4 linked regions of the Alligator mississippiensis genome follow. The protein of the gene in region 1 interacts with the protein of each later gene in a pairwise test. Links are inferred from orthologs where the notes say so. Each region holds a gene or a part of one and is shown in the gene's direction. Other genes may lie near its edges.

Region 1 (7,976 bases):
ATTCAAAACGGACACCATCCCTTCCGGGAGATGGGTAGGGTTGTAATGGCAGTAGAGTTCAGAGAAGTAGAGATCAAGACTAAGGGGGATTAGCAGAGCAACGGGGACAGTACTGGAACAGAGCAGAAGCTGCAGGTTGGAATTGAAGCACACTGGACAGGGATGAGTAGGGTGTCACTCGCATGGATATTTTATATGTACTGTCCGTTCACATGTACCTCAGTCTCAGGAGAGCAGATGTATACAGGCCAATATATGGCCTCCTTCCTGGGCCATCTCTGATTTTAGTTGCATGTTACAAAGGTTTCACCCACACCAAAGGAAAATATCATAGCAGGTATGTCTACATGTTCATTAATGTGCTTTTGCTAATGCGCATTAAATTTAGTACCTCCATTGTGAGGTACTAGAAAAAGGAGCATTAACTTATTTTAATGCACTTTAGTGAAAGCGCATGGTTTTTTTGGTGACGTTGTAATGCCCATTAAAAAAGGCTAATGCGCATTAAAGCACACATGTAGACGTGCCCAGCAGAGGTGCTGTAGCTGATGTTCTGCACCGGCTCTGTTCTCCGGTTGCCTCTCGAGTTTTTGTCATGCCTTTGTTTTTCATCTGCTGACATCCACATGTTCAGCAATGGATCTGGATTGTGAATGCTGGTCATTTGTTTAAATAAATGGCTTGGAAAGGGACATACCCTTGTTTGGCAACCTTTGATCTGTTGATGGTATGGTTGCAAAATTGTGTGCACAGAACGTTAATTTTTTACCTTTGATTGTATGCTAGACCTCGTGTGTGTGTGTGTGTGTGTGTTTTAACAACAAGAAAAGGAAGCTGATGAATGAGATACCAAGTCCATGACAAATATGGAGCTCCATGTATAAGCTGTAACTAAGGCAATTGCCCAAGAAACTATTTCAACTAGAAGCTGAAATGAGGGGCAAATAAACTGGCTGTTATCTGTGACCACACAATTTTTATAACATTGTGGAGAAAAGTTACTACATATATATATATATATATATATATATATATATAAAATGCAGAGGGCCAAAATCTTGCTGCCAAAATTTGACCATTTGAATTCAAGTAACAGAGCAGGTATTGTCATCTGAGCTGGGATAACGAGTCACCTCCCACTTGAACATATCTGTTTCTTAAGAAATAGAGAATGAAACTCATATATGAAGATTCACAAGTTCTTTCTCTTTTGTCACTCTTCTAATGAAAAGTCACAGGTGATAAGGAGAGACTTAAAAACTGACAACCAGTTTTTAACATCCTGTTTTGCATTTCAATTAATGTATACCTATACAGTTATTGTACTTTAGACAATACTCCAACAATCACTGCAGACATCTCCTCCACCTGCAGATGGTGCTGCCACCTTATTTTACCCTGCTATTTTTTCATGTCCTAACTGATGGGTGGGAGTTGGGGTGGGGGTGCAGAGTTAGAAATTAGCTCAGCCCTCCCTGTGTATGCTGGAGTTGTTTGCATTATTTATCACAATAAACTGTTTAGTTTCTCGTACACAAATGTTATAATTAGTGGCAGCAGCTTTAAGACGATTTGTCCTGAAATGCAATGTAATTATCACACAGATAAGATGGGGCGCTGTGAGATTTCACTCAACGTTGAGCTATTGCTCTTGGCGCGTGAGTGGGTGCATGAGAAAGCAGCAGAGCGCTCAGCAGCATTTTTGGATCATAGTGCCAAAAGCTTTTGCCAGTAGTTCCTCGGTACGGATGGTGGGTCTTACAGACCATAACAGAAACAAACATCTGGCTGCTATGAAGCAGGTATTAGCCTTTTGAAACACTGAGAGAGAGAGAGAAAACCAGAAGACAGGAAGGAGATTTACTTATTATTAGAGGTCTGCAAAGTCCTGCTGTTTTGAAATTTCTACTTGCATGTATATGTGAGACTAATAACAGATATGGTTATCTAAAAGCTATCCACTCAGCTGTAAGGAAAGAGGACGCTCCAGCAGAAGATGCAGATACGTCAATAAAATAATACTCCATTCCCCTAGAGAGGGGTATGGGCAGGGGAGGTACTTGTAGCTTGTTGAAAGTCATGTTTTTGGGGGAGGGCAAAAAGTTCAACATATAAATGGCAGACATTGTGCACTGTATGAGTGCTTTCCACAAACCTGCCACTGTGGTCCACCTGCCATACTGAATCAGGGAGCAGTACCTCTTATGGTTAACATATTGACTGGCTCCTTTAAGGGGAAGCTATGAGATGGCATGTGCCGTCAGTGGCATCAATGTAGCTTAAAACCCCCAAATATTCTCTGAAACCCAAATATTCTTCCAGAGGCACTCATGGGCCCACAGCCTGTGATGAAACAGCCACCACCACCAGCCTGACAGCTGACTTGCCAATGCCACCTTGATTAACCACCTGGGTGGCTAACAGACCTGCACATGTCTGGGGTTGCCAGATTCCTGATAGTGTCAGCAAACTGCTTCTAGTAGGAAAGCGTGGTCCCCCGGTCTCAGAGTTGCAGGCTGTGAGCCAAAACGTGCGGATATGTATCTGTATCCTAACAGCAATTGTATCTGCCGAGAAGAGCACCAAGGTTTTGAACTGCAGAAGGAAGGACTTGTAAACCATGATGTGCAGAAATTCCTGAACCCTTCCTGTCCGTTTGTGGTCATCGGTGAAGTCAGATTATCAGTCAAGCAGACTGATGAGCTTGGCACAGACCCGTGGCTTTTTGAGGTCACAGTAAATGAGAAGGAAACCACTTAATCAGGTACTGGATTCCCTTTCTCTCGTGATTGCTCCCAGGGCTGCTTTTTACAGCTTTTGCTGCCTCCGGCTGCACTCTAATGTGCAGACTGCAAATTGCTGCATGACAGCAGGCCTGTTGATGTATTGCACCTTCCCAACGGGCTACTCTTGCTCAGTCCATTGCTTGAGTCGCACGTTTTCTGCCTCTCTGAGTCTGGGGTCTCACTGCAGCATGTGGTGCGCTGCTAACTCTCAACTTTCTGTTCTCCTTTGGTAAAGACGCCTGGAATCTGCATCTGTGAAGCATGGAGGTGATGGGCGAGAGCCCTCCGTGAGGCCAGTGAGAGGCAGGGGAGAAACGTGTTGCCTTGGGTAACACAAATCAGAAAAGGAAATGATACACTAGTCCAATCCCATCATGCAGAGAAGTGACCCAGGAGGACGGCACTGCCTCAGACTGCATGAGGATGCCGTGCAAACCCCAATGGCAGCATGTGAGAACCCACTGGGTTTCTTCAGTGAGGCATAAAAACCTCATAACGACCATCATGATGTCACATGAAAATGTCATATCAAGTCACGATAATCAGGGTTAGAGTGTGGTGCTTTGAACTAATGTTGCCAACCCTCCTGGATTGGCTGGGAGTCTACCTGAATTGGCATCAGTGACTATTGAAAGCAATCTGGGGGAAGGATATTGTGAACGGGTTGAACAGTACAATTAATGATGACACTAGGTAATGTTGGGAAAAAAACTTCCCGGAATAGCTTCAGTCAGAGTTGGCAAACCTACTTATAACAGGTTTGCATGTTTGAACCCTAGCTGGACTCTCTCTCTTGAGGTCCCTTACTTCTCTACACGGCATCTCTATGATTTTTTGTTTTGTTTTGAGTTGCGCAGATTGGGATTGTGTTTGGATAGGTAAGGCGTAATATGATAGATTTGGAAGGGGGGTGTTATGAAGTGATGTCTGGTATGATATTATCCATGACGTCAAGGAAACATGTGGGATCAGATGAGATGATGTGTTTTTTGGGGGGTCGTGCTGGGTTATTTTCGGAAAATAGAAGGTGCGTTGTTTATAATGATAGAACAATGTAAAGGAACAGTCATTGACAGAATGAGTCAGACAGAATGATGATGAACTTTTTTTCAACTACTCAGTTGATCTAATAAAAGATATCACATCTACTCAAAGAACCTTGCCTACTTTTGTTGCGGTGGGATTTTGAGATGGAATCTGTGTTTAAGTTTTGCTATGTTGTGGGGATGTTTTGTGTTGCGTGGTTTTTATAAGTTTTTGAGTACAGGCAGTCCTCAGACTTATGACACAACTGGTCCTGAAAACAGCATTTTAAGTTGAAACGTCATAACTTGGAACCGATTTTCCCATAGGAACAATGTTATAAATGGGGGATTGGTTCCTGAACCAAGACCCGATACCCTATTTTCACCAAAAATAACCCAGTATTTTGTAGTCAATCACTTATAGATGAGTAATATAACTACACTAATGTCTTTCTATTGTAAATAGCAATCATATTGATTTGGAAGGACTTCTTTGAGGTGACTTTGCTGGACTTTTTGAAGGGCTCTTGGTTGGACTTTTTGAAGGGTTTTTGGCTGTGATGCACTATTTGCAGATTTATCCCTTAGGTTGGTCATCTTGCGAAACGTCTGAAGTCGAGGACTGCTTGTATATTTGTCATTCAAAAAAAAAATCTGGATGATGCAGAACTCGCAGATTTATCCCTTAGACTGGTCGTCTCGTGAATGTCTGAAATCAAGTACAGACAAGGTTCCTTGGATGAATTTGATGTCTTTTATTAGACCAACCCAAATGGTTGGAGAATAGTTATTAAGCAAGCTTGTCTGCCTATGTCCTTAGACCAACACAGCTACAACCTAAACCCCTGAAATCAAGTATTGCTTGTATATTTGTCATTCAAAAAAAAAATCTGGATGATGCAGAACTTGCAGATATATCCCTTAGGCTGGTGTATAGGGCTAGGCATCGGATCAGGTCACTGAGGCTGCAGGAACTACAGGGCTGCCCTTCGGACTACAGCGCCCAGCATGCCCCGCGCCCCGCCCGAGGACTACACGTCCCAGCCGTACAACCCAAGAGGCGGCGCGCGCGGCCCTCTGGGACTTGTAGTCACTGGGACGATGAAGGGCGGCTGCCGGGAAGCGGCGGCAACGCGCCTGCGCGGCCTCTCGGGGAGGGGGAGCGGGTGGCGGCGGCGCATGCGCGCTGGCGCGGCGGAGATCTCTCGCGAGGAAGGACGCCATTATCGCAGCCGCTCGACAAACACCACGAGAATTCGGCCCCGCACACGGTAACCGCGGCCCCCGCGGCCGCCGGCTCGGGCTGGGCTCCCCGGGGGCCGCCCTCCGCCCGGCCCGCCGCTCCCCGCCTCCACCCGCCGCCTCCGGGAGGGCCCGCGGCGGGGGAGGGGCGGCTGCCTCACAACCCCCCCCATGCAGGCGGGGGGAGGGGCGGGGCGGACCATTCCCCCCTCCCCCCCGCCTCCGGCCCGCTGGGCCTGCGCCTGGGCCTGGGCTTTCCTCGGGGGGGGGCCTTCACTGGGCGACGTGGGGGGGGGGCGCTCTTCTCTACCGCCTGGCGGGCTTTACAATTATTTTTGGTGCTTGGTCAGCAATTTTTGTGTCCCCCCCCCCCCCCCCCATTATAAATATGTAAAGTTATATTTTAAAATTATTTTTGGTGCTTGGTCAGCAATTTTTGTCTCCCCCCCCCCTTTATAAATATGTAAAGTTATATATTATATCTCCCACCCCCCCCTTTATAAATATGTAAAGTTATATATTATATCTTTATAAAGGGGGTGGGGGTGTAAAGATGTAAAGTTATATATTTATACATCATCTCTTTATAAAGAGGGAGCTGTAAGGAGGGGGTGGGGGTCGGACAAATGGGCTGAGGTGCCCCCCCCCGCCCCGGTCCCTGCACTGAGCCACCCGGATACATGCCCGTCCCCCCCAACTTTGAAGTGTCGTTGGACTCTTGAAGTGCTTTTTTTTTTTTTTTTTTTTTCTCTCTGTGATGTGGTCAAAACGAGCAGGTTTCTCATCAAAGCCGTGTCCTTCTGTTAGTGGTGGGGAGGCGAGAGCGGGGGGGTCTAATTTGCCTGGGTGTGTTTTCATTTTTTGTATCCTTAAGGGAGGGTTTTCGCAGGAGTAGGTTTTAAATCCTTGTAAATTTCATTTTTTTGAAAGCTGTGTGTTTGTTTGTGTGTGCATGTGCGTGCGTGTCCTGTCTCTCCCCCCAGTGACAGGTCCTGTTGAGAAGTGTTTTTGTTTGGTTATTCCTGGGGGGGAAGTACAGCATTTTGTTTGCTTATTTTGTCTGCAGTTTGTTACTTCTTTAGTTCTACAGTTTACTGAGTTTAACGTGTGTGTGTGTGTGTGTGTGTGTGTGTGTGTGTGTGTGTGTGTGTGTGTGTGTGTGTGTGTGTGTGTGTGTGTAGATATCTACTTGGATATCTATCTACATCTGCCTAGACATCTACTTTCATCCACTTGGATATCTGCTTAGACACCTTCACCCGCTTGGATACTGCTTAGACATCTACCTAGACATCCACTTAGACGTCTACCTAGAGATCTATAGAGAGAGTGAGCTAGATAGGTAGGTATCTATATTTTTATAGTTTCATAGTAGCTAGAGTCAGGAGGGACCTGAACAGATCATCTGGCCTGACCCCCTGCCACAGGCAGGAATGAATGCTGGGTTCACAAGACCCCAGACAGGTGATCGTCCAACCTCCTCTTGAATTTGCCCAAGGTAGGGGCGAGGACCACTTCCCTGGGAAGTTGGTTCCAGATTTTGGCCACACTAACTGTAAAATATTGCCTTCTGATCTCTACCCTAATCCTATTCTCCATCAGCTTATGACCATTGTTCCTCGTCACCCCAGGTGGTGCTGGGGAGAAAAGGACTCTGCCTATTTGCTGTTGATCCCCCCTGATGAGCTTGTAGGCAGCCACTAGGTGCCCCCTCAGCCTCTTCCTGCTGAGGCTGAACAGGTTCAGGTCCCTCAGTCTCTCCTCCTCGTAGGGCCTGTCCTGCTGCCCTCTCACCAAGTGGGTGGCCCTCCTCTGAACCCTCTCCAGGCTGGCCACATCCCTTTTGAAGTGCAAATATATATATATTAATTTCCCATATTTCTGTTAGTCTCATATGCAGTAAAGCGGGGAGGGTGGGGAGAGAAACATTTGCTGTGTAAAATGCCCTGTGCAATCACAAATCTATCAATGGGTGCATGTATAGTAATTGAGATTATCTTTAAGCCCTGAATGCTTGTGTTTTCAGTTGCGTACTTTTAATAGTTTCTGTTCACACCATGAATTTATTTCACTGCATATTAAATGAATGTCCTGTAAAATATAACAGAATGAACAATTCTTAATTGGTCCTGAGACGTTGCAGTGAACTTCCGTAAGGATGCCAGGCCTTGCCTTGGCCAGAAGCTCAGACTTGGGTAATATGCCGAGCTGCACGTCAAGAAGAATGACATGATAAATGTTTAGGGCAGTTAAAAGATTGAATCCAGTTTTGATGAATGGGAACATCCTTTTTGTTTCCAGGAGTGGGCATAATTTTTGGCTGTTTGTCCTGATTTCTGATTTATAATAACAGTAACAGCCTTTTAATGTCTGGATCCAGCAATGTTTATCAGGTGGCTGCAATGCAGACCTAAAATGTTAAGGTTCCTTAAACGAGTAATACTATTATTAACACTCAGTGCTACAGAAATCCAATGGATGCTAATTCACTGTCTGAGATGTTTAGCACCAGTATTCCACCAGTTTATATTCTGCTAAATTATTTTTTAATTTATTTTTTAAAATAATTTTAATTATTTTATCCCAACGCATGTTTCATGGACATCAGTAACGTGTTTCTGAAGCATACAAGGTGTGTGTGTGGGGAGGGTATGTATGTACATGCACACATACCAAAAAGGCATCCTGTCGATGTTCTGATTCTGCCATGATCACTTAGTATGCTTCAACTATCTAAGTCACATTTGCAGTGACTTGTATTGGCATCATGTAGGTTGTCTGTAGCCCTTATTATAATAATCATTTTCTCCAAACTTTTCAAGCTGAGTAACACTTGCCCATGAAAAATGAGGTGGAATCACAGAACATCTGCATTTTCTTTTTATCAGCATTTCCATGGTCTCGTATTTTTAACTGAAGTAGA
Region 2 (7,890 bases), on another chromosome or scaffold:
AGAGAGCAGATTCAGGCTGGATGTCAGGAGGTGCTACTTCACAGTCAGGGCGGCTAGGATCTGGAGCCAACTTCCAAGGGAAGTGGTCCTCGCTCCTACCCTAGGGGTCTTTAACAGGAGGCTAGATAGACACCTTGCCAGGGCCATCTGACCGCAGCATTCTTTTCTGCCTGTGGCAGGGGGTCGGATTTGATGATCTGCTCAGGTCCCTTCCGACCCTACCAACTATGAAACTATGAAGAAAACCAACCTCACAAATATATTCAGACAGGTGTCCCACAAAGGCCATACATTACCATCTGCATATGCCTCTAGAAACATGCAAATAGTAACATTGCCTTTAAGCAAAAATAGGTATTGAAACTCCAGCAATAGCTGCCTACTATTCCTTTGATGAGTTCAAGTGTTCATGGCCACAGTGAATGTTTCTGGATGAAGGAGTGGTAGCAAAGGTCCAGACACTGTTTTGGCACGGAGGAAATGGGGGAAAAAGCAGAGTAGCTTGAGGAAAAGTCGTGTTGATGCTGGATTGAAGAATCTTTTATCCAGCAGTTTGGGCCCTGAGAGCCATAGAAAACTTCCCAGAGAAATCCCTATAAGCTATATTTGCATCAGTGCTGCTTGAAAGTCAACACTCAGGTGTTGAAGCACTTAGCTTTTGAAGCACTGTGGGACTGTACCGGACTCCTCCCAGGGGCGAGAGCCCCCGGATTTGCAGGCCAAATGAGAGAAGGTTGCTGTTGCTGGCAAGTGCCAGGAGTTGTGCTTTGAACAGTTTGAGCTGCAGTTTCCCAGAAACCTCTGTACCTATCTCCTTGAAACTTGGGTAGGCTTCATGCCCTCAGAAGGGGCTACCATCCCGCAATTTTCATCCAAATCAGGCAAGAAATTACAAAGTTTTAGGCATTTTCATGATTACCCATTATAGCCTATGGGCAAAACGTCAAAACACGTTGAAACAGCAGAACTGTTGTGATGAAACGAAACGGGACAGTGCTTTGAAATGAAACAAAACAATGAAACAAAACACTGTTCCTTCAAAGCGGTGAAACAGGTGTCAAAACAAAACAATAGTTTTTCGCACAGCCCTAGCATCCACCGTTCTGGACAGTGCTACACTGTAGTAATAGAATATGGAACTCAATTGCAATGTAACTAGCAGATAAGCCCAATCAAAATGTATATGCATTTACAAATATTTAGAAACATTTAATGGGTGTGGCAGGAAAAATTTATGCTGGTTTACAAAAGGCCTCATTCTGCTACCAGTAAATTAATGGGAGTGTTACCTTGGATTTCAGTAGAGCAAGAATGGTCTGGAATGAATTGAATAAAAAAATGCAATGTACATAATTTTAAAATAATGTCTTAAGTCGGGTTTAAAAAAACCCCCAAACTTTTCATTATACACTACAACCTGAAACACTATGATATGCTATTATGACACACTGACTCAGCACCCGTTATAATAATGTCCTAGGTAGAAACAGGAAACTGTACAGTATTATGAAAGCATTTTAGTATCCCAGATACCTGTGGAGGTTTCTAGAAGTTTGTGATGTCATACACATGTCATAGGCAGGTGGCTATGAGCATTCAACATCCATCTATTTATAAAAAACATTTCATAATAGGTAATAAAATGCTCCAGGCAGCACATTTCTAAAGGTTATTGTACATGATGGGTAGCTAATGACTCTTTGTGTTTGATCTTGTGCTTCATGGCACTAGCTAGGGCATGTTATAATGATAATCAATTCAATAAATTACTCTTCACATTTTAATGCTCCAAGTGTCTCATGCAAAGGTTGTCCTGGGATTCATATAAAATTAGTTGGTAGCTTCTGTTCAGTTCTTTGTGGGTGGATTCCCAAGTCCTTCAATAGCCACTCTCACATTTACTCTTCCATCTCCGAAAAATGTAATGATATGTTTTGTATCATGGTTGGTCACTACATGTCCAGGTTAAATCACCTCATAGAGAAGTTTGCATCAACAATATCACTGATTTGTATTTGTACCCCACTTCTGGGCAATTTAAATACAATGCTTATTATAAACCTAATACATACTACTGATCAGCAGGGATCTGGGTTTTCTGTATGTCACAGGAAAACATGGACATTCTCCTTTAAAGGAGAAAAACCCAGGAAATGATGGGTTCCCCCTTGCAGCCTGGTAGAGCCCTGTAAGGGGCTTTTTGGGGCTGGGGGGAGTGGGATGCAGGGGGCGCCACCATGAACAGCGCGTGCCCCTGGCGGCTGGGTGAACAGGTGATATGGAGGGGGGAAAGGGGGTACATGCCCCCCCCCCCCGATTTCTGTGTCCACAGCAGGTCACGGGGCTGCAGCTGGGCCACACCAACTCCAGGCAGGAACTGCCTCTGCAGCCCAGCAGGTGACCGAGCACGAGATGAGGTGCTTCCTGCCTGCCCAGCAGCAGCAGGGAACAACTCCACACCGTCGTCATGCCTCACGTTGGCAGGCATGGCAGCACGGTGTTCCATTTTGTGCCAGGTCCTGCCCATAGGGCTGTGGAGGTGGCTCCTGCCTGGAGCTAGTCTGTCTCAGCTGCATCCTTGCACCCCGCTGTGGGCACAGAAATCTGGGGGGGGGGGAGAGGAGTGTGTTCTCTCACCCCTCCCCAAGTCACCTGTGGCTCCCCAACCCTCCTGATGCATCACCTGTGCTCACACACCCCCTTCCCCACAGAACCACCGCATTTCTTACACACTGTGTGGGCTGAAGGTGAGGGCCAGTGCTTCAGAAGTGGGGGGCACCAACAGGGCTGGGGGGGTGGTCTGTGGGTCAGGAGGGGCATATCAGGGCTTCTCAGCATCACAAAGCAGGGGTGGGGGGAGAGACAGCCACAGCTGGACCTGCATCCTGGTGAGCTAAGGGGGCAGGGGGAGCTCTGATTTTCCATGATAAAAAAAACAAAATCAAACACCAAAATATATAGGTATTTAGAACTGAATTTATTATAATGATTGAGGCACTAATAGGCTTCCAAACTGCTTTTAAATTGTAAATATATCAATAAGACATTGTATTCAACTGATACCTGTATATATAATGATGTTTCATTTTAAGCACGAAAACTTGCAGATTTTGATTTTTTTAATCAGAGAATTAGGGATTTTTAAACAGAGAAACCAGGATCCCTGCCGATCAGTAAATTAGTTAAGACTCTTGCCACTGAAATGTGAGTGAACTATTAACTGCAGAATTGGGGCATTGGCAGAACATCTTAAATTTCCTCTTTAAAACTTAATAATGTCTGCTATTAATTTTAATTGATAGAATTAATCTCCTTTTGTCCCCTCTAAAAGTTTCTGTACTGTCATTTGACAACTCCTGGGAATACTGTTATTGTATATGGTGGGAACTTAAGGCTCTCCTGTCACCACAGCAAAAATAGACAAGAATTGAGATGCAGGAAAGAGCGTAAAACCCTAGACTGGATGATACTGCTTTAATCTGAAACATAACCTACTGTTATATTATCAGAAAAATTAAATCTATTTTCAGTGCCTCAGTGCAGGTCCTCTGGACAGAACTGAATTTCACCTTGAACAGCTGCAATTAAGGAGGAACTTCTGAGTTCTTGCCCCAGTTCTGATTGGGGGGGGGGGAGAACCTCATGTTTCTTATTCCAAAGCAGTCAGTCTCAATCTGGGGTTCTCTCAACTTTTTATAGAGGGACCTGAATTTTAAAACAGAGGTTCTCACAGGTATCTTTTGTACCATTCAGAGATCTAATTCCTGTGATAACTATCACAATTAGTACTGAGTGGGTGCATCTACACAAGACACTACTGAGCAGCAGCTCGTTGCTACTGTACAGTCTGTATCTGAAAAAACTATGTGAGCAAAGTACTAAATGATTGTGCAGCAACAGCTGCTCATGCCTCTGTTTTAACTATTTTGTGTAACAGTTGGAAACATAGTTAAGGATAGTGACTGTGGGGTCTCGATCAGACAAGAAACTGAGATGCATGTCACCTCCCTGCTGATGCACCTCTCCTGCGAGAATGTCCCATACCTTTTTGAAGCTAGCTAAACCTTCAGCTTCCACAACATCTGATGGCAATTAGTTCCACACTTGAATGATACACTGTGGGAAAAAGACCTTCCTTCTTTGGGTTTTAAACTTACTACCAGCTAGTTTCATTTTGTGACCCCTAGACCCTGTAGTGCAAGAGAGCGGAACTAATAAATCTATTGTCTTTCTCTTTGCCATTTAGTATTTGGTAAATCCTTGTCACGGCCCACCTCAGGTGTCTCTCTTCTAAACACCCTTCAGGGAGCGAGCGCTGGAAGCCCGCTGGCTCCGCGAGCGTTTCAGGATGCTTGGCAAGACCGGCCCCGCCGGTGGGCAAGGACTGACGCCTTTGGACAGGGACGGTCCAGCTCTGACAACTGCAGGGGCCTGCTCCATGTGGCCAGTGCTGGGGCAAGGCCGAGCGTGAGCTGGCGGGAAGCGCAGGCCACCGGGCGCGCTTTGTTTCTCTGCGCAGGGCGAGCCGCAGCACAGCGCAGCACTTGGGGCCAGAAAGAAGTGTCAGCCCCCCGGGGCTGCGCTGCCGCACGCTGGGGCGAGGGTTGCTCTGGAGCGGGCAGGCCCCTGCCTGGGATCTCTACTGCCCGCTGACACCGGGGCAGAGCAGCACGAGGCTGCCGGTGCCCTGCGAGGGCGCGCTGAGGCCCAGCCAAGGCCGCCGCGGGCGGAGGAAGCACTACGCAGCCGGGGGGCCGGAGCCTCCCCCGGGCTCCACGGCCGCGCCCCGCCCCTCCCGCACCTGGCGGCCGCTCGGGCCCGCCTCCGCCCCCCGCCGCCAGGGGGCGCCGCGCGGCTCCCCGGGGAGCCCTTAAAGAGCGGCCGCGCGGCACCGCCGGCACTTCTGTTCTGCTCTACGCTGCATCTCGTCTTGCCTCGCTCGCTCGCCCCGCCCGCAGGATGCTGGTGCTGGGTGCCGCCCGCCGCTTGCTCGCGGGGCGCCCGCCGGGCTCTGCCGTTGGCCGCCTGCTGCTGCCGGGCCGGGGCTGCAGCGCCCGCGCGCCCAACCCCGTCGTGTTCCTGGACGTGGAGGCGGACGCCAGCCCGCTGGGCCGCGTCGTGCTCGAGGTGACCTTGGCCCGCGCGCCGCGCCGCGCCGCGCATTGGCGGGGGAGGGGGCGCTGCCGCGGGCTCCGCGCCCGGGTGGTGCCGGCTCCTTCCCGACGGGCGCGGGGTCCCCCTGGCCCTCCCGGCTCCCCGCTTCCTTCCTGTCTCGGTCCTCGGGCTCCTCAGCCCGAAACTGGGCTCCTGCTCATTGCAGCGGGGGAAGCTTGTTCAGCAAACCTGAAAATTAACTTCGCCGCCTTAAAGGCCCGGCCAGAGCAATCCTGGTTCGGGCTTCTCTGCTTGAAGCCCTGATAGATGTCGCGTCTCCCCTGCGAGCACAGGAAGGCCGAAATGTTTGTCCTTCAGCATATGGTGGCAAGGCACTGAGGTCCATTGGGATGGCTGGCAAGAGAGGTTGCTCTGGCCTTGTCGTGCACTCTTGCATCCACACTTTTGAACGTGGGATTCAAATAATTGCTCCAAGAAATTAACAAAAACCAAGTAGACTAGAGATCAGTGATTAAAAACAAGTGAACCATGTGTAAATACTTCAGTTGCAGATGGAGGGTCTTGCACTTGCCCTCATGAGACCATTCTTAGTGTTTGGAGGGTGTTATAAAGAGAGGACTCTTTCTGACTGAAGTTAAAGCTGTTGCATTGTTTTTCCTGACTGCATGGTTTCCCAGAGACTGTAATTAGGAGGCAATATTGTTAGTCCAGTTAGTGTTATGGGGTTCCCACATGGCTCATTCCCCAGAGCAGCAGTTCCCAATGTGGTGCCTGCATGTGCCACGGCACCCTGCAAGGTTTATTCAGGTGCCTGTGCATATGTTCACGATCAGTAAAAATCATGATTCCGGCAAAAATGCTGTCATATTGGTGCCTGCTGCTTTTTCTTTTAAACTCAAATGTGCCCTTGGGCGCACGAATGTTGGGAACCCCTGCCCCAGAGGATATGGGTCTAAAACACTCCCAGCTGGACCAACCATGATCTTTAGCAGCTCACATCTCCACTCTGGAGCCAAACAGTTCAGTTGCCACTTCCCCAGCTGTCACAGCAGCCACCACACTGGACTTTGTGAATTTGATAATGCTTATGGCTTCAAAATGATAGCTGTAGTTGCGCTAATTTGAGGTCTGAATTGATCAAAAGATAAGATGTAGCTGAAAACAAGCAAGTACATTTGTGTACCAGTCTGAAAAGATGGATGCTCACCATTACTTGACTTGAGTAGATTTTGTTAAAAATCTGGTATCTCCTCCAAAACATGAATGAAGTTGGTTATAAATACAGATGAGCAGCAGTAGAAATCTGTTTAAATGTGATCTGTGTCTGTCCTAACTTAACTTTTTTTTCAAAGACTGGTCACTGCTGGAAGTTACCTAGTTGTGGGGATAATTCAAAGTAGCTTTGAACAGTGAGCTGGATCCAAGTTATGAGTTCATAACATTCATGTTGTTTTGCTAATTGTAGTTCTTAAATACTGCTAAAACCAATCTTAAACAGTGCAATGAATTTCTTTCTCTTCTTTCATCCTTTGCTTTCCCTAGTTCAAAAGTTATAGGTGTCTTCGGCTTTTCCTGTATCTTGACATGTTTTATATCAAAGGTGACTTTGTTTTGTTTCAACAGCTGAAAGCTGATGTAGTTCCGAAGACAGCAGGTAAGAAAGCATCTTAGAAATTTTGTCTACCTTTGGCCTTTTAAGGTTTTGAATACAGCTAAGAGAAGTTCAGTTTCTCTTTCAGTTTCGTTAAGAGAATTTTTCAGAAACTGGAAAAACTTGTTCCAAAGTTCTGTTTTAAATGTAGAAAATATTTACATGGCATTTGTCCCAAAAGCAGTTTGATGCCTCACTTTTAATGCACGGGCAAGTGAGGGATGTGTGTGCGTTGCCAAGGCTGTCCAAACAAGTTTTAATACAAGGTTAAAAAAAACCCCACAGTTATCATTTGAAATGCAAAAAAGAAGAATTGTGGAACTGAGATGATGCAGCTTGAGGGGCTGTTAATGAGACTGACTTCCCCTTTCTTCTATATATAGAGATACAGAAATCGGTTTGTGAAGGTAGTAAGCAAGATCGGTTTTTCTTTCTTGTGGCTACTTCATGATCTCCGTGCATTGGTTTTCTTATTCCAGTTACTCATAAACAGATGGCCACAAGAAAAATGCTACCATTACAATTTTCAAACAGAGAAAACGTTTAAGAGGCATGGAGCCCGAACTCTGATTCCTAAGGATGTTTCAAGCAGGAGTGAAGGCACATAAGTGAAAAACGCATTCATGCTCTGTACTGTGCCCTATTTGGAGGGTAAATGGAACATCTCCAGGGCTGTAGCTTTCAAAAAGACACGATTCATTCATGCAAAACAAACACTTAAGCTATTAATAATCTTTTTATTTGTATTAGACTGTAAGAATGTTAACTTGGGACCTAAATTACTGATAATCCATTTTTACTGAATCCAAAATAAAAAGATATTGATGTTGATGTTACAGGGTAGTGACTTACGTTTTGTTTTGACAGAGAACTTTAGAGCTCTTTGTACTGGTGAGAAGGGTTTTGGGTATAAAGGATCCACCTTTCACAGAGTGATTCCTTCATTCATGTGCCAGGTAATGTAACTTTCAAATATTTCTACTGAACTTTAATCATGAATTTTTCCAAAATAAGTTTCATATTCATTTGCGGTACTTTAGAAAGGATGCTTTTCTTGTGTATTAGAATACTACTATAGCAATAATACTTGTATTGCTATGCTCTGTAACCTATTAGCTGCAAAA
Region 3 (7,420 bases), on another chromosome or scaffold:
TCCCAGCCCTGCCCTGGGCTCCCCCAGCCCCACTGGCACCCCTCACTGCCATGGACAGGGCTGGTGTCCGCTCCCCAGGGCACTGCAGCTGTCAGGGGGCATGGGAAGGACCTGCTCTCGCTGAGGGCTGTAGTTACCTCCCCCCATTTCTCCCCTGCAGCAGAGTGTCGCACAGTCCAAGAGCAAGGCTTTCTGGGAACTGCTGGTCTCCTACCTGCCCTCCATCATCATCACGGGAGCCAACCTGGTAGTGCCTATGGCCTTTGGGGTCCTGGTACGCCTGGAGCAATACCCGTTCAGCCAAGAAATCAAATTAACCCTTGTCAGGTACCAGGGATGGGAGGAGCCCTGCCACATCCTGCCTCGTTTTGCCATTCCATGGCCCCTCTAACCGCCTCTGTCTTCCTCCTCTGCCTGGACAGGAGTGTCTTCCTGCGCCTTGCCAGCCTTGTGGTCCTGCTTGTCTCCCTCTGGATGCAGATCACCTGCCACGGGCAGACCGAGGCCTTTGATTGCCGTACCTGTGGCTACAACCACCAGCACTTCCCGGTGAGGCCAGGGCACCTGGGTTGTCTCCCAGCTGGAGAAGTGGAGTCGGTTAGAATAGAGAGGCTGGAGGGAGCAGACTTGACTGCAAGACAATGCCATGATGTGTCTCCCCACAGTGCTGGGAGACCCGGGTGGGGCAGGAGATGTACAAGCTGCTGGTGTTTGACCTGCTGACCATGCTGCTGGTGACACTGCTGGTGGAGTTCCCCCGCAAGTGAGAGGGGGTGGGACCTGGCAGGACAGAGGCTGGGGGATGAGCTGTGGGTTGGAAGGGCTGTGGAGAGTGTCCAGGGTAGGGTGGAAATGACTGGGGGAACTTGTAAGGGAGAGCTGGAAGTGGGGACTGGAGAAGCTTGTAAGGAATGAGCAGTTGGGTGTAGGGGGAGGCTGGGCTGGGCTGGGCCAGGCTGGGCAGGGAGGGTGTAGTGGGGTTCTGGAGAGTCAGGGCAAGGAGCCCATGGGGCTGAGTCAGAGAGCAGAGGGCCAGGCCCTGTCACCTCATCTCCCTCCCCCAGGATCCTGGTAAGCCACGGCCCTGTGTTGCTTGCCCGGCTTTGGGGGCAACAAGAGTTCCTGGTGCCCACCAATGTGCTGGACCTGGTGTACGGCCAGACTGTGTGCTGGGTCGGTGCCTCCTTCTGCCCGCTTCTGCCCCTGCTCAACACCCTCAAGTACATCCTCCTCTTCTACCTCAAGAAGGTGCGCCCCAGATGCCTGGATCCTCTCCTGGCCCTAGGAGGAGCGGAGGGGTCTGGTGGGTTAGAGCAGGGCGGTGGGGCCTGGGAGCCAGGACGCCTGGGTTCTGTCTCAGCTCTGAGAGATGAGTGGGTTAGAACAGGGAGCTCTAGGAGCCAGGACCCCTGGGTTCTCTCCTCCCCTGTGGACCCATCCCTTTCTCCCCTCCCCACAGCTCACCCTTTTCTCCAACTGCCGTCCTGGCGACCGGACCTTCCGCGCCTCCAGCTCCAACTTCTTCTTCCTACTGGTCCTGCTGCTGGGCCTGGCCATCTCCTGGGTGCCGGCGCTATACAGCATCTTTGCGTGAGTCCAACCCCCACACTGACAGTCCCACCCTGTTCCTGCTCCCCTCTCTGATCTTCCTGTGCCAGGGGGAGCAGGGGTTGGGCAGTGGCATCACTCAGTGCCTGGCTTGTTCCCCAGGGGCTGAGTCCTGTCACGCACCCCTGCCTGGTTGCTACAGCCCCAGTTCTTTTCACTCCTTGCCTAAGGGCCAAGGTCCTACTCTCTCCCATGTCCAAGTTTTCCTCTCCTCTCCCTGACCAGTCCCCCCTCTCCTCTTTCTCTCATGCAGCCTCCCACCGTCCCAAGCCTGCGGCCCCTTCCGGGCTGAGTCATCTATGTGGAATGCTGCCTTGTTGGCCATTGACGGGCTGCCTGAGCTGGCCAGGGGCTTCTTCTACTTTGTGGGCTCACTGGGCTTCATCGTGCCACTCTTCCTGCTCCTGTGGTGAGAATTTAGGCTAGGCTGAGGAGGGCTGAGAAGGCTGGGGAATCTCCCTCGGCTGAGAGTACACAGAGAGCAGGGATGCTGTGGGGATGGTGAAGGAGTTATATACGCATGTGCACAGGTGCATACCCACACACATGCACAGCAGCGCCTCTCTCCCAGTCCACAGAGCTCCCTTTCCCTCCTCTCAGTACCCCCTGCCAGGCCCCTGCCCAAGCCATCACTTGATGCCAACCCCTAATTCAGTCCCTGCCGGTCCCCTCCTCCCCCACAGCATCTTCCTGTTCTACCTGATGGCTCTCGCTGACTCCTACAGCCGCCTGGTCAAGGAGCTCAAGATGCAGCTGCAGCTGGTGAGTCACATCCTGGGGCTAGGGCAGGGTTCTGGCTGCCTGGGATGGGGATGGAGAGGGGTACATTCCCCTCTACTGGCTCTGATCTGGGATCTAAGCCCCAGGAACAGCACTAACCAGCAGGACACCCTGAAGAGTGAAGCCAAAAGCTTCATCTTCTTGCTGCTGACAAGGAAACTTCCCCCATGGGCATAACTGTGCCTGCTTTGACCACTAGCCAGGTTCCTGGACCTGGCATACCAGGGGAGGTGGGCCCCTGAGATAATTGAAGGCAGCAGTACTGACCCAGCTGGGTTTCGCTCCCCTTGCAGGAGGGCAGAGACAAAGTCTTCTTGGTGAACCAGATCACAGAGCTGAGCTGAGGGGGCACCATTTGCTCCCCACCCCCCTGCTGATGGGGGAAACTCTCCTCCAGTTGATTTCATGATGATTCTGCACCTGCCCTGGATCCGCACCTGCCAAAGCAATTGCACTTCCCCATGCCAAACCCTGGCCCCAGTGGATGGAAGCTGCAGTCACTGGGACAGCACCAAAGTTTTTGAGGCTGTACGTAGAAATCTCTTAGCTGACCCCGAGCTGCAGCCATCTCTGGGGTGGGGCACGGAGACCTGTTAAGAAGCACACAGTGACACTGCTCAGTTTAGTCCTGGAAGCCAAGGAAACAGCTATACGTCAGTGGTGCTCAACCTATGGCCTGCGGAGCTCCCCACGGGTTTGGGAATTTGGCAACAGGGAAGTGGTAGCAGCGTTAAGGGCTGCAGCTCCGGCTGCCACCGTTCCCCCTGGTGCCAAATATCTAGATCCATGGGGACCCCCCCGGCACTGGATGATATGGATCGCACCCATGGACTGCCCCTGTGCTGGATCAGCCCCACAGACAGACCACATGCGTGGGATCCAACCCATGAACTGGCCCCGTGCCATTCATCCTGCCCATCAGAGAATCACCAAAAGCCATAGAAAAGTTGGGCTGGACAAGACAGGCTGAGTTCTGCTGCTGTAAGTGCCTGGAACAGCAGGGTGAATAAACAGGAGGTGAAATTCAACAGCTGGGAACCAGAAACAATCAAACCTCCATCCATACCCAGGTGAAGTCCATTGGCCTCCAGACGTTATGGGTTTCCCCAGGCAAGCTGTTAGCAGGGATTGTGGACCACAGCTCCACTCCTCCCCGCTGTGGCTCTTTGCAGAAAATGGTCCCCAAGATTTTTTTCCTTGGACTCTGTACCCTACACCTGCCTTTCCTTCCCCAGGGGCAGCACTGCCCCAGCTTCACCAATCACATGACAGCTTTCTCTCTCTCTCTCTGTCAACCGGAGTGTTTTTTCACCCCCTACAATTGGCCACGGCTCTCTGTGGGCTCCTGAGCTGCTGGGGGCCAAGCGTCACCAGCAGAGACGGGTGGTAGGGGAGCAGTGAGAGAAGGGGAGAGAAGGACTCTAGGACCCTGGGGTTGCTACAGGGTGCGCTACCGGGCTGCTATGCCGCGACAGGCACTGCCACTCCATGGGATATGCCATGGCATTACCACATCGCAACTCAGCCTTCACGCCTCTGGGAGGGAAGGACACTGAAGGGGAGGTTTGGTGGGCGTGGGCACATGTGCACACACATGTATGTTCATGACCTGGATCTGGCAGCGAATGAGTGATCACCCGCAGCAGTGACCTCAGGCCTCCCCTAGGGGCCCTAGGGTGGAAGGGGGCTCACGTGGGGGCGGGGCCAGGAATGTGTCAACAGGCAGGAGTAGTAGGATCCAATCAGAAATTACATGGTTCTGGGTGGGGTTTGGTCTTGTGGTTCCAATCAAGGGGCTGTGGCAGGGGGCGTGGCTCTGGTGCACCAATCAGGGACGAGGAGGCTGGGCAGGGAGGTGAGGAAGCCAATCCAGATAGGGAGGTGAGTTAAGTGGGTGTGAGGAGAGAAGGGGCAGTATCCCGGTGGGAGGGAGGCGGCTTCCGCAGGCCAATCAGCACGCACGCTGGGGCAGGCACGAATTTGGTGGGGGGGGGAGGCGGGATAATCACGCACCAATCAAGGAGCGCACAGTTTTGCTCTCCAATCAGAGAGCGAGGGCGGAATCCCTTGCAGCCAAGCAGACATCGCGCCGAGGGGAGTGGGGGGGACTTTAGTGCACCAATGAGATAAAGAACGCAGCAAGCCAATCAGCCAGTGGGTTCGTGACCCGGAAGCGGAAGCGACGGGAGAAGCCTACCTGCAGCACAAACATGAACATCCTCCCCAAGAAGTCTTGGCACGTGCGAAACAAAGACAATGTGGCCCGGGTGCGGCGGGACGAGGCCCAGGCCGAGGATGAGCGGCAGCAGCGGCAGGCTCGGGCCTTGCTGGCCGAGCAGGAGGTGAGTCACTGCGCAGGCGCGGAGCCCGCCCCCCCCCGGGCGCATGCGGGTTGGTCACGTGACTCAGATGGCTCGTGCCTTAAACCATTTTGGAGGGATGTTAGGAGCAGAAATCTGAGCCAAACCATTTCCCGAGGGGGCGGGGCGCAGAAAATCGCTGGGGACTAAAGTGCGGGGAGGGGGAGAGGAGGGAGCTGGTTTGAACCACTTCTGAATTGCGTCAAGGATAAAAGAAAAGTGGAATAAACTGTACTAATGGCAGGGGGAGAGAGGAAAGAAGCTAGATTGTACTGCTTCCAGCTGGGGGGCAGAGGGCAAGGAAGAGATCCTTCCCTAGGAAGTGCCCCCCCTGAGGCTGGAGGGGGAGGCCTCTGGGCCACATTCCTTCTTCCAGCAGTGTGGATTTCAGCTCCCCCGTTGGACAAGAACCCCAGGGCCCTGTGGGCTCCACGCTGCCTCCTCCATGTCTGCAGCTACCTTTGCCCTTGGGTGACATGAATTTGTGGAATCTCAGCCCAGATCCCTGCTGCCTTTATTATGCACAGCAGTAGTACCCCCCAGCTGCCCTGGGGCTGGCCCCCTTCCCCAAGGCCCAACACTGAACGAGCCATAGAGTCCTGCAGGTCCTGGCCCTGAACCCCCCTCCTTCCCTTGACAGCCGTGTCCCCCCTGCAGGCACGGACCAAGTTTCTGAGGAAGAAGGCACGGCTCTTGGCCCTGCCGGAGCCCGATAGCAGCTCGGAGCTGGCCCTCTGCGGTGAGCAGCCACATCACGTCGACCTCTTCCGTGACCTGGAGGATGGCAAGGGCAGCAAGGCAGGGAACAAGGAGTATGAGGAGGAGAAGCTTAAGGAGAAGGTAATGAAAGAAGGTTGGCACATCTGAGGCCCCAGGGGACCTGATCGGACACCTGTGGGGATGGGATGCCCCCACTCATAAGAGCTGTCATTGACTGGGTCACCCTATAGGTGCATTGTGCCCAGTCCCCTGCATCGTGCAGGCAGAGTGCAGATGCTGACGAGTAAACAGGGCATGACTAGGGCTTTTCCCATTGTTCCTCTGTTGCTTGCAGCCTCCCAGCATTTGAGGTCCAGGAAGCTCTGATTCACAGGCTATATTGCTAACTCCCAGGCTCAATAGCTACTGCTGCACTTTTCCTCCAAGAACTTGTCCAGTTGCTTTTTTAATGTGGCTGTCAGCTTCCACTACATCTGCTGGCAACGGGTTCTCAACTTGAGTTGCACAGTGTGTGAAAAAGAGGTTCCTTTAAACTTACTGCCTGCCACTTTCATTTTGTGACCCTTAGTTCTTGTATCATGAGTGACAGCAAATACTAAATGGTGAAAAGAAAGTAGACATGGATTTATTATTTTGTAAACCCTTCTCATGTCCCCTCTCATGCAGCTCTCTTTTTAAGTTGAACAGGCCTAGCTCTTTAGTTCTCCTCATATGGAAGCTCTTCCATACCACTCTGGGGCTCTGATGGGGCAGGGATGTGACTCCACTGTCCATCCCCCCTGCCCCGATTACAGCTGTGCTTGGCCATGGCCCCACAGCATTTGCACCCTGGTGTGTCCATCCCCTACCCCTCAAAATCTTAGAGCTGTATCTCCCGAGTACGGGCCTCAGGCCTTGAGGCCAGTGGAGGGAGTATCCACCCCCATAGGCTGCACTTAAAAAGAATACCCCTCCATTCAGACTCCTATCATACCCCTCCCATGCACAGGAGCACCAGGAGAAGGCCATTGGGCTGCTGACATATCTGGGACAGAGTTCAGCTGAGGCCCAAACCAACCCACCCTGGTACCAGGAGGCCCCAGACTGCAGCAAGGAGGCAGCTGACATGGTCAGGGATGAGAAGCTGAAGGGGAAGCTGGACCCCCTCATAGAGATGGAGAAGTACCTGCGGAAGAAGAAAGGGGAACAAAAGAAACACAAGAAAGAAAAGGAGAGGCACAAGGAGAAGGACAGGCGCAAAGAGGAAAGAAAGGGAGTGGGGTGAGTGGGACATGAGCAGGGCTGGATCCTGGTATTCGGTTTACTGGAGCAGGGCTGGGCCTGTGCTGTAGACTTCTACCTACATATGCCAGCAACTTCAGGCCACAGGGCCCACAGCCTGTCACTCCTTTCTCTTGTCCCTATAAGGGGTGGGAGGCCAAGTGGGAAGTCTTGTACTGCTTTCCCTTCCCCTCTTCATGTCCTGCATACCATTTCTGCTCCCAGCCAGCCCTCACTCCAACTGTCAGGAGGATGTTAACCCCTTGCTTTTTATCCCAGGACCTCTGGCCCCACTTCCCTGGAGGAGCTAAGGCAGGAGCGGCTGCAGCGAGAGAAGGCAGAGCGAGCCAAGGCAGAAGCCCTGCTGGCTGGGATGCGGGGAGGGTCAGTCAGCTGCAGGGAGGAAGTGGAGATGGACGACAGGAGACGCTGCTACAATTCTCAGTTCAACCCACAGCTGGCCCGGAAACCCCGGGACCAGGAGGAGCAGCGCTGAGCTGGGGTGCAGAATGGGGGCTTTGGAGCTCTAGACATGGAACTGCCTGAATAGGCACTATAGCAGGGCCAGGGCTCCAAGGACAGAGAATGGGAAGGCTCCAGCCCTTCAAACCACAAGGATGTTTCTGTTCCAAGGACACAGGATGTCTTTTTTGTTACACCTCCCCTTAACAATGCCTCCCTGGACTGGCAGG
Region 4 (7,198 bases), on another chromosome or scaffold:
GTTCTGGAGTCTGTATATCTGGTGGACTGAAGATCTCTAGCTCTTGAATAGGAGACTGAGAGGTTCTCTCTCGAAAGCTCTTTGGGTTGCTGGCTTTTGTTGCAGAGCCTGTCTTGGGCTGGGCATGGCATGCCTTTGCATTAGTTTTGGAATGCCTTGTGCAGGTACAGGTAGAAGTTTTTGGATTCTCAAAAGTTAGAGAAGGAAATCTGCAGACAGCAGGTTTCTGACCAGCTCCTCCTCCTTGAAGGAATCCATAACTCTTTTCCTGGATCTGGAAGTTTTTGGACACATGCTTTTGCTTCTTACCTCCCTTGCCCTTGAAGCCCATGGGTAGAGTGGCTTCAAACTGCGGGGACACCTGAAAAGCCAAACAGAGATGGTGAAAAACCATTCTCTCAGATGGGATAACCCCTCACACTCCTTGGCTCCTCCACAAGGAAACAGCAACACCATTCTCACTGCACTTCCCCTTTCTCTAATGTATCTATTGATCTTCATTTGAGAGCTGCCGTTGCCTCTTCCAGCACGTGGTCTAGTTTACCGAGATTTCCTCAGCTGCAAACTATGTTCGACACTCAAGACAGCATGAAAAATTTGGAGGCTCACATAGCCACAAAGTGCAGTTCTACTCTGAAATGCAGTTTTAAATGTGCTATCTTCTCTGAATATACTTAAATGCATCTATTTTAGTGATAGAATAAATCTTTAATTGCTACTGAATCCTCCACAGTTCAAAGAGCAGGTTGGATTCTGTTTCTTCTTGTGTTTTACAAACCACCAGTCTTGTTGATACAACCAGGAAGACAAAGCAGCAGCACAGGTGTAACTGACACCAGAATATTAAAAGGCAAGTCACCATGTTAGCCTCAAGCTAGGCAGAAGCCAATCTCTAAAGGTACCACCACCCTGTCCTGTTTTCTGCCAGAATATTGTAGGTGAAGGATAAGTATTAAAGAGGCCTAACTGGATTCTTAGACCCCCAGCTGAGGTTGTTTCACTGCACAAAACACATCTTATTTATAAAAGGGACATTTATTCTGCAGTAATGGAGACAAAAAACATAGAATCCACACAGCCATTTTTAGAGACTTTTCAAAGAAGACTTGCAATTCAAAGTTTTTTTTTTAATAATTAAGTCACCTATTATAGGGGTGAATTCTGATATTGTATTCTTAAATTACTCTAGAAACCACCAGTCTCTTTCATGCATTAAATTACTGCGCAACATTTCACAAGCCATAACCTAAGTCAAACAGGAAAAAAAAATGGCAAGTACCTATCCCACTGTTTTCGAGATTTCCAATCAAAACAATTGGAGGATACACAGGTTCTACACACAGGGGACTGCAGACCCCAGGAAATGTTTACGACTAGGAGATTCATGCAATTGAGATTCAAGTGATGAAATGAGGCCTGAGACCTAACTTGGGATTCACTATAAGTAGTCAGGAGAAGTCAGAGGAGAAGTTAGCCCAATAACTGCAATACTAGTTACCCAGCCATTACTTCTCAGACATCTCCAGATATTGGGATATTTTCCAATGTGTTCCAGATCCACAGTGATTCTCTCTCATCTCAGCAAGTGCTTTGCTTATTGATTTAGAAGCCATATAGCTGACTGCCTGCAACATGTTTAAAGTTGATCTGCTCTGAACTTCTTTCCGCCCCCCCCCCCGCAGCAAACAACATAGAAATTGACCTCAAATAACTCCAATTTGCATGGCTGGTGGAGTGTTCAAATGTATACTTGAAACCTCACTCCTTGGGGCTGCTTTGTTAAAAAGTTTTGAGTCCAAAGTAGCAATGCTATTTAGCAGAGCTGCCCAAAGTGATAGCTGCAGCTAAAACCAAGGCAGTTCCCACAGTACAGCAGCACAACTATTTAAAAATCTTTGCACAGAATGGCATCATGCAGGCAGTGCAAATGACTGCAAGACTGAATAAAACGGACACTGAATTGCCCTCTCAGCCCATGGGAGGGGGACGCTGGAAGGAATGCATGGAAAGAAGATTAAAATACAAACTGAGCTGGGGGAAGGGGAAGGGTCAAATGTACCAACCTTCCCTTCCCTTGCAACTACAGCTCATTACAAGGTACAACATCAATTTTAACTCCATGCCACAGACATCAACAGTCCCTGGTTTATTATTGTATGAATGACAGCAGAAAAGCAAGCTGTTAAAGTAGACATAAAAATAAATGCTAAAGAGAAGAACTACAGTTAGGGGCATACAAAAATGGAGCTAGCACCTTAACTGAACAGCAGGGATCCTGGTTTTCTCCGATCAAAACAATCCACAATTTTCAGATTAAAAAAAAGTAACCAAAATCCACATTTTTCCATGATCAAAATGAAACACTACTATATATAAATTAGTGGCATTTCATTTTAATCACAGAAAAATGTGGATTTTGAGTTACTTTTTTAAATCTGAAAATTGTGGATTTTTTTTTTTAAACAGAGAAAACCAGGATCCCTGTTGAACAGGCAGGTATTACTTTAGGCATAGCTTTCAGCCAACCACACTTACAGCACAGTAGCTATTTCAAGTATCAAAAAAAAAAAATCCATAAAATAAAAATGAAAGAATAAATATTTTATTTTCTGTGCACAGGGTTTTGAATTACTATAAAATCCATAAAGCAATTTCTCTTTCTGGATCCCAGTATTCAATGTCATTATGCTAATGTACATGACATGGAGTTCTGTTTCATTGCCAGTGGCCCTAAAGTATCATTCAGTACCTGAAGTGGCAATAAAGCTTGAGCTGCTTGTGACTTGCAAGAGTGGGCTTTGGAGCAACTCCGAACTCTACAGCTAGTTAAACCACAAGGAAATAAAGAAAAAGCACCCATTTATTGGCTCGTGCCAATATCCAGTACAGATCTCTCCATTACCTTGTAAAAGAGAAACAAAACAAAACACTGTATGAAATGAAGGAGCAGGAAACCTGTACTTACCCACTCAGTAGAGGCATTCTGGTCTACGGGTCTGGTAGGAACACATCTTGGGTTCTCAGCCAAAGGAAGAGAAGACCCATAATGATGAACAGATCCCTCCCGTGGCCTCTCAAGGAAGAGCAGCTCTGGCTTCTTGGCCTTGCGGGTGCATTTTTTCTTTGGAGGCATCAAAAGGCTTGAGGAAGCCACTTAGAGACTTCATGATGCTTGCTGGAGCTAGTCAAGAGAAGAGGAAGACTTCTCAGCTACTCCCAGATCTGCAAAGAACAAACGGAGGGACCTGAGGCCACCAAGCAATCTTGAATTTCTTTTAAAAAGTAATGCTTCTGATTGTGCCTAAGCTCTCTGAAAAGAACTGTTTCTAATGAAGACTGGAATAATAAATACATTGCTCTACAGACACAGAGCTAGGCTGGATACAAATTGATGACTTTTTCAGTTTAAGTTAGAAATGGCAACCTACATTAATCCCTACATTGTTGAAATCCTTTAAAACAAAAGAAAATAGTAACGTGGTGCACACTGCCCACCAACACTTTAATGTGAAACCACCAAACTAGGTGGCTACAGAAAAGTTTGCTGAAGTGCTGCGCCAGCTTCTGTGTGGGTTGCCTCTTCTGCACATACAGAGGCAACGGTCTTTTCTTTGGTCCAATCAGTTATTTATTTGTTCACGGCTGAGGAACCAAAGTAGACACTTACTTCCTTCCCCAACCTACATATAAAAGCCGAGGTGGGCACGTCTGAGACCCACCCGTGCTCAGCGTGCGGCCCCCGGACCCACAGCACCTGGCCGCGGGGCGTTCGGCTGCTGAGGAGCAAGCGGCCGTTAATGTCGCCACGCCCCCGGCCCCGCCCTACTGCCCATTTTCCTCATGCCCCTTTTCCCTCAGAGCCAAACGGGGCAGGGCCACACCTGCGTACCCCTGTGCGGCCGGATCGGAGCAGCGACCCGCCCCCTCCGCACGTCCTTCCTTTGCGGGAACGAGCCCTACCGCCCCGCGAGAGCCCGCCCGCAAGAGCCCCCAGCGTCAGCCGGCCCGGCACGGGCCCTACCAACCCTATGGGCGGTCCTGCCCCCCGGTCCCGGCTTGGTGGCTGTTAGTTGAGCCCCGCCCGCGCCACCTGCCTCCGGGTCCGCACCCCCTCCCATCTGCGTGGAGCCGCCGCGAGCACTGATTGGCCGCGCCCCGGATGGAACGCTCGGGCGCCCTCCCATTGGCCGCGGCCGGCACGTGACGCCAACGAGCAGCCGGGCGCCAAATTCAAACGGAGACACGAACGGCGGCGCCAGGGGCAGCGCTTGAGCCCGGAAGCGGCCGCGGACCCCCCCCTCCCCCCCACCCGGCCCCGCGGGGGAGGGGCCCGGCTCGGCCCATGGCGACCGCCGGCGCGGGTCCAGCATGAGGAGCAGCCCGCGCCGGCCCCTGATCCTGAAGCGGCGGCGGCTGCCGCCCGCCGCCCGTGATGAAGCGCCGCGACGGGCTCCGGGCGCGGCGGCGGCGGAGCTGGCGGGCGCGGGGATCCGCGTCACGGCGCACCCGAGCCTGCCGCGCACGCAGGTGGTGGCCATCCCGCCCGGCGCCGACCTGCGCAGCGTCATCGAGGTGCTGACGGCCAAGGGCAAGGGCTGCGGCAGCGACGGGCCCACCAAGTTCATCCTTATCAGCGGCGGCGGCACGGGCACGGCCTTGGCCTCTGCCCCCAGCCCCGCGCGCCGCCTGCCCCCCGGCGGCAGCGACCCCGGGCCCCCGGGCCAGGGCCAGGCCGGCAGCAGTACGTAGGCTCTGCGCGGCCTGCGGCGGGCGGGGGTGGTACGGGGAAGCTCCCGGCCGCGCTTGGGGGCAGGAGTCCCGGCCCTGAGTGCCGGAGTCTTAGTGGTCTGTTTCCCCCCGGGGCTTGTTGGGGCTGGCGGTACAGGCTGGGCACTCCAGACAAGCAGAGCAAAGGTTTTTTGGAAGCTGGGCTTCAGGCTTGCTAGGAGATGTGGGGCTGGAGCCAGGTGGGGAGCTGGGCACTTGACATCACTCCATTTTAGTCTAGAGAAGAGGGGACTTCATAGCAGCCTTCAACTACCTGAAGCGGGGTTGGACTGTTCTCAGTGGTGACAGAATGAGGAGCAATGGTCTCAAGTTGCAGCAAGGGAAGTTTAGGTTGGATATTAGGAAGAATGTTCTCACTAGGTGGGTAGTAAACACTGGAGCAGGTTACCCAGAGAGGTGGTGGAAGCTCCATCCTTGGAGGTTTTCCAAACCTGGCTAGATAAAGCTGTCTGGGATGATCTAGTTGGGGATGGTCCTACTTTTAAGCAGGGGTTGGACTAGATGACTCCTGAGGTCCCTTCCAGCCCTAATTTTCTATGATTTCTATGAAATGCATAGCTAGAGATACCAGGAAAGGGAGATCTCTGTTGCTTTTGGACTGGCAGCTGCGGCTTCTTCCTTGCTACCCCCTCGTGAAGAAACTTGGTCCGTGCCACACCAGGGATGAAGGTTATATTTTCTCAGCTTGGACTTGAATGGCCATTTGGGCTTCTTCCCCATGGGGTTACCTCAACCACTGCCTGCTGACAAATACACTCTTCTAACAAAAAGAAGCCTCTGTCTCATGTGTGTGCTGGTAGATAAACTCCCACATGTGCAAATGTGCCTCAGTACAGGTGCTCCACAGTCTGTAGGTAGTAGCTCTGCTGCTGCATGTGGCTCTTAGACTAAGGAAAATAAATGTATTCACTTTTTGCTACTGCTGTTCAGGGCCCTTGCAGACAGTCAGACTTTAGTGCTCTTGAGAATCACATCAACCTGGGGCAGATGCTGCAGGTTGGCAAAGCTGTGAGCAGCAGGCAATGGAGTTGCTTACATGGAGAAATGAAGTTTGGGAAGGAGCAAGTGGGATGTTTTCACCTCCTTCAGAATGGTCAAGAGCCCCTGGCAGACAGGTAGAATAGCAACCACTTTCAGCAGTTTGAGAAAGGAAAGTTGAAAAGACTTTCTTCCTTTTCCAGGCATTAGGGGATGGAGGAGATGGAACAGTTCACATGGAACAGTTACAATTTGGGATGTTTGTGAGCTAGAACCTGAGGAAAGAGGTGGTGCTCAAGTAATTGCAAGAGGTCAAACTAGAGTAGGAAGGCCAGCACCCTTCTCCCTCCACCACATGCATCCCTGCCAGGAGCTGAGCTCATTAAGGTCCTTCCCAGGCTTCTGCTGGTAGAGTGCATGTCTTTATTTCTCATGGCCTCTGTTGCTAAGTTTAGTCCTCTGGCTAGTACATGCCTGAATTTCTTTTTGTTAAGAGTTGCTTTCAGCAGAAACTCATTTTAGTTCAAGGAACAGGGTGGGAGGAGGGATTCCAATTAAAGCTAGCTTTTTAGGCTTGAAGCTACAAATTGGGAGTAGGGCCCATCCATAATTAAACCACAAACTCTGGCTACTTCCACAAGGTTGTTTAGCTTTGTAGTGCTATTGTGTACCTATGTCTTAAGGGGGCACTGAAGATACCTTTGAGGTTCCTGGTTGGGGTGTCCTTCAAGGCATCTGAGATGTATTTGCAGATAAGTGAGCAATGCTCTGGGTCGATTTCTCTGCAGGCAGTGGAGAGATGACAAGCTGTGCATTGGATAACAGCCTAACTAACATCCAGTGGCTGGGAAGGATGAGCTCTGATGGCCTGAGTCCTTCCACTGTGAAACAAGAGATGGAGAAAGAGAACCAGACCCCTGTACAGGTGGAGGGAATCAAGGTAAGAAGCACTCTAGGGATGAAAGGAGTAGAGCATAAGATAGAGGAAACCTCTGGAGAGGGGAAGGAGATGGGATACATAGGTGAGAAACCTTGGAGGCGACAGACATAACACAAGCCTTTTCCCCATGGAAGGAGGGTGGTTAATCTGGTGAAAAGAAACCTGAGGGGGAATTTGATAACAGTCTTCAAATACAAAGAATAAGTTGCTTATAAAGAAGACGGAGACTCTATCCACTGGGAACAGGACAATAAGTAGTGGTCTTCAATTACAAGATGGGGAAATCTAGGTTAGAAAGTTCATCCTAATAACCAATCTAGGCAAGTTAAACTCTGGAAAAGATTATTTGAAAAGGTTTTGGAATCTCCTTCACTGGAAGCTTTTAAGCATGTTAGACAAATACTTGGATGAGGCATTTTAGATAGGGATGCTCCTATCTTGAACAAGGGTTTAGACTAAATGACCTCCTGTAGTCCCTTCCAGCTCTATTTT

The links.
Region 2: the proteins of BANP (region 1) and PPIF interact in binary tests that used the Homo sapiens proteins (3 or more experiments, as listed by UniProt). The two-hybrid records come from large-scale screens. The link is inferred for Alligator mississippiensis from reciprocal best matches to the Homo sapiens genes BANP and PPIF.
Region 3: the proteins of BANP (region 1) and LENG1 interact in binary tests that used the Homo sapiens proteins (3 or more experiments, as listed by UniProt). The two-hybrid records come from large-scale screens. The link is inferred for Alligator mississippiensis from reciprocal best matches to the Homo sapiens genes BANP and LENG1.
Region 4: the proteins of BANP (region 1) and FOXM1 interact in binary tests that used the Homo sapiens proteins (3 or more experiments, as listed by UniProt). The link is inferred for Alligator mississippiensis from reciprocal best matches to the Homo sapiens genes BANP and FOXM1.

The regions. Positions count from the first base shown.
Region 1 is NC_081833.1:74,474,529-74,482,504, forward strand, and holds the start of BANP (protein BANP), read left to right. Parts: upstream 1-4,975; 5' UTR 4,976-5,082; intron 5,083-7,976. UniProt on the Homo sapiens protein: Controls V(D)J recombination during T-cell development by repressing T-cell receptor (TCR) beta enhancer function. Binds to scaffold/matrix attachment region beta (S/MARbeta), an ATC-rich DNA sequence located upstream of the TCR beta enhancer.
Region 2 is NC_081829.1:33,534,916-33,542,805, forward strand, and holds the start of PPIF (peptidyl-prolyl cis-trans isomerase F, mitochondrial), read left to right. Parts: upstream 1-4,881; 5' UTR 4,882-4,959; coding exon 4,960-5,127; intron 5,128-6,738; coding exon 6,739-6,769; intron 6,770-7,633; coding exon 7,634-7,722; intron 7,723-7,890. UniProt on the Homo sapiens protein: PPIase that catalyzes the cis-trans isomerization of proline imidic peptide bonds in oligopeptides and may therefore assist protein folding. Involved in regulation of the mitochondrial permeability transition pore (mPTP).
Region 3 is NC_081828.1:38,487,623-38,495,042, reverse strand, and holds the start of LENG1 (leukocyte receptor cluster member 1), read left to right. Parts: upstream 1-4,420; 5' UTR 4,421-4,598; coding exon 4,599-4,730; intron 4,731-5,405; coding exon 5,406-5,588; intron 5,589-6,456; coding exon 6,457-6,728; intron 6,729-7,007; coding exon 7,008-7,224; 3' UTR 7,225-7,420. Other genes in the region: TMC4 (transmembrane channel-like protein 4), read left to right, coding at 161-327, 423-549, 666-763, 1,065-1,248, 1,460-1,590, 1,862-2,017, 2,292-2,370, 2,682-2,732.
Region 4 is NC_081827.1:143,899,539-143,906,736, forward strand, and holds the start of FOXM1 (forkhead box protein M1), read left to right. Parts: upstream 1-4,196; 5' UTR 4,197-4,368; coding exon 4,369-4,741; intron 4,742-6,554; coding exon 6,555-6,706; intron 6,707-7,198. UniProt on the Homo sapiens protein: Transcription factor regulating the expression of cell cycle genes essential for DNA replication and mitosis. Plays a role in the control of cell proliferation. Also plays a role in DNA break repair, participating in the DNA damage checkpoint response.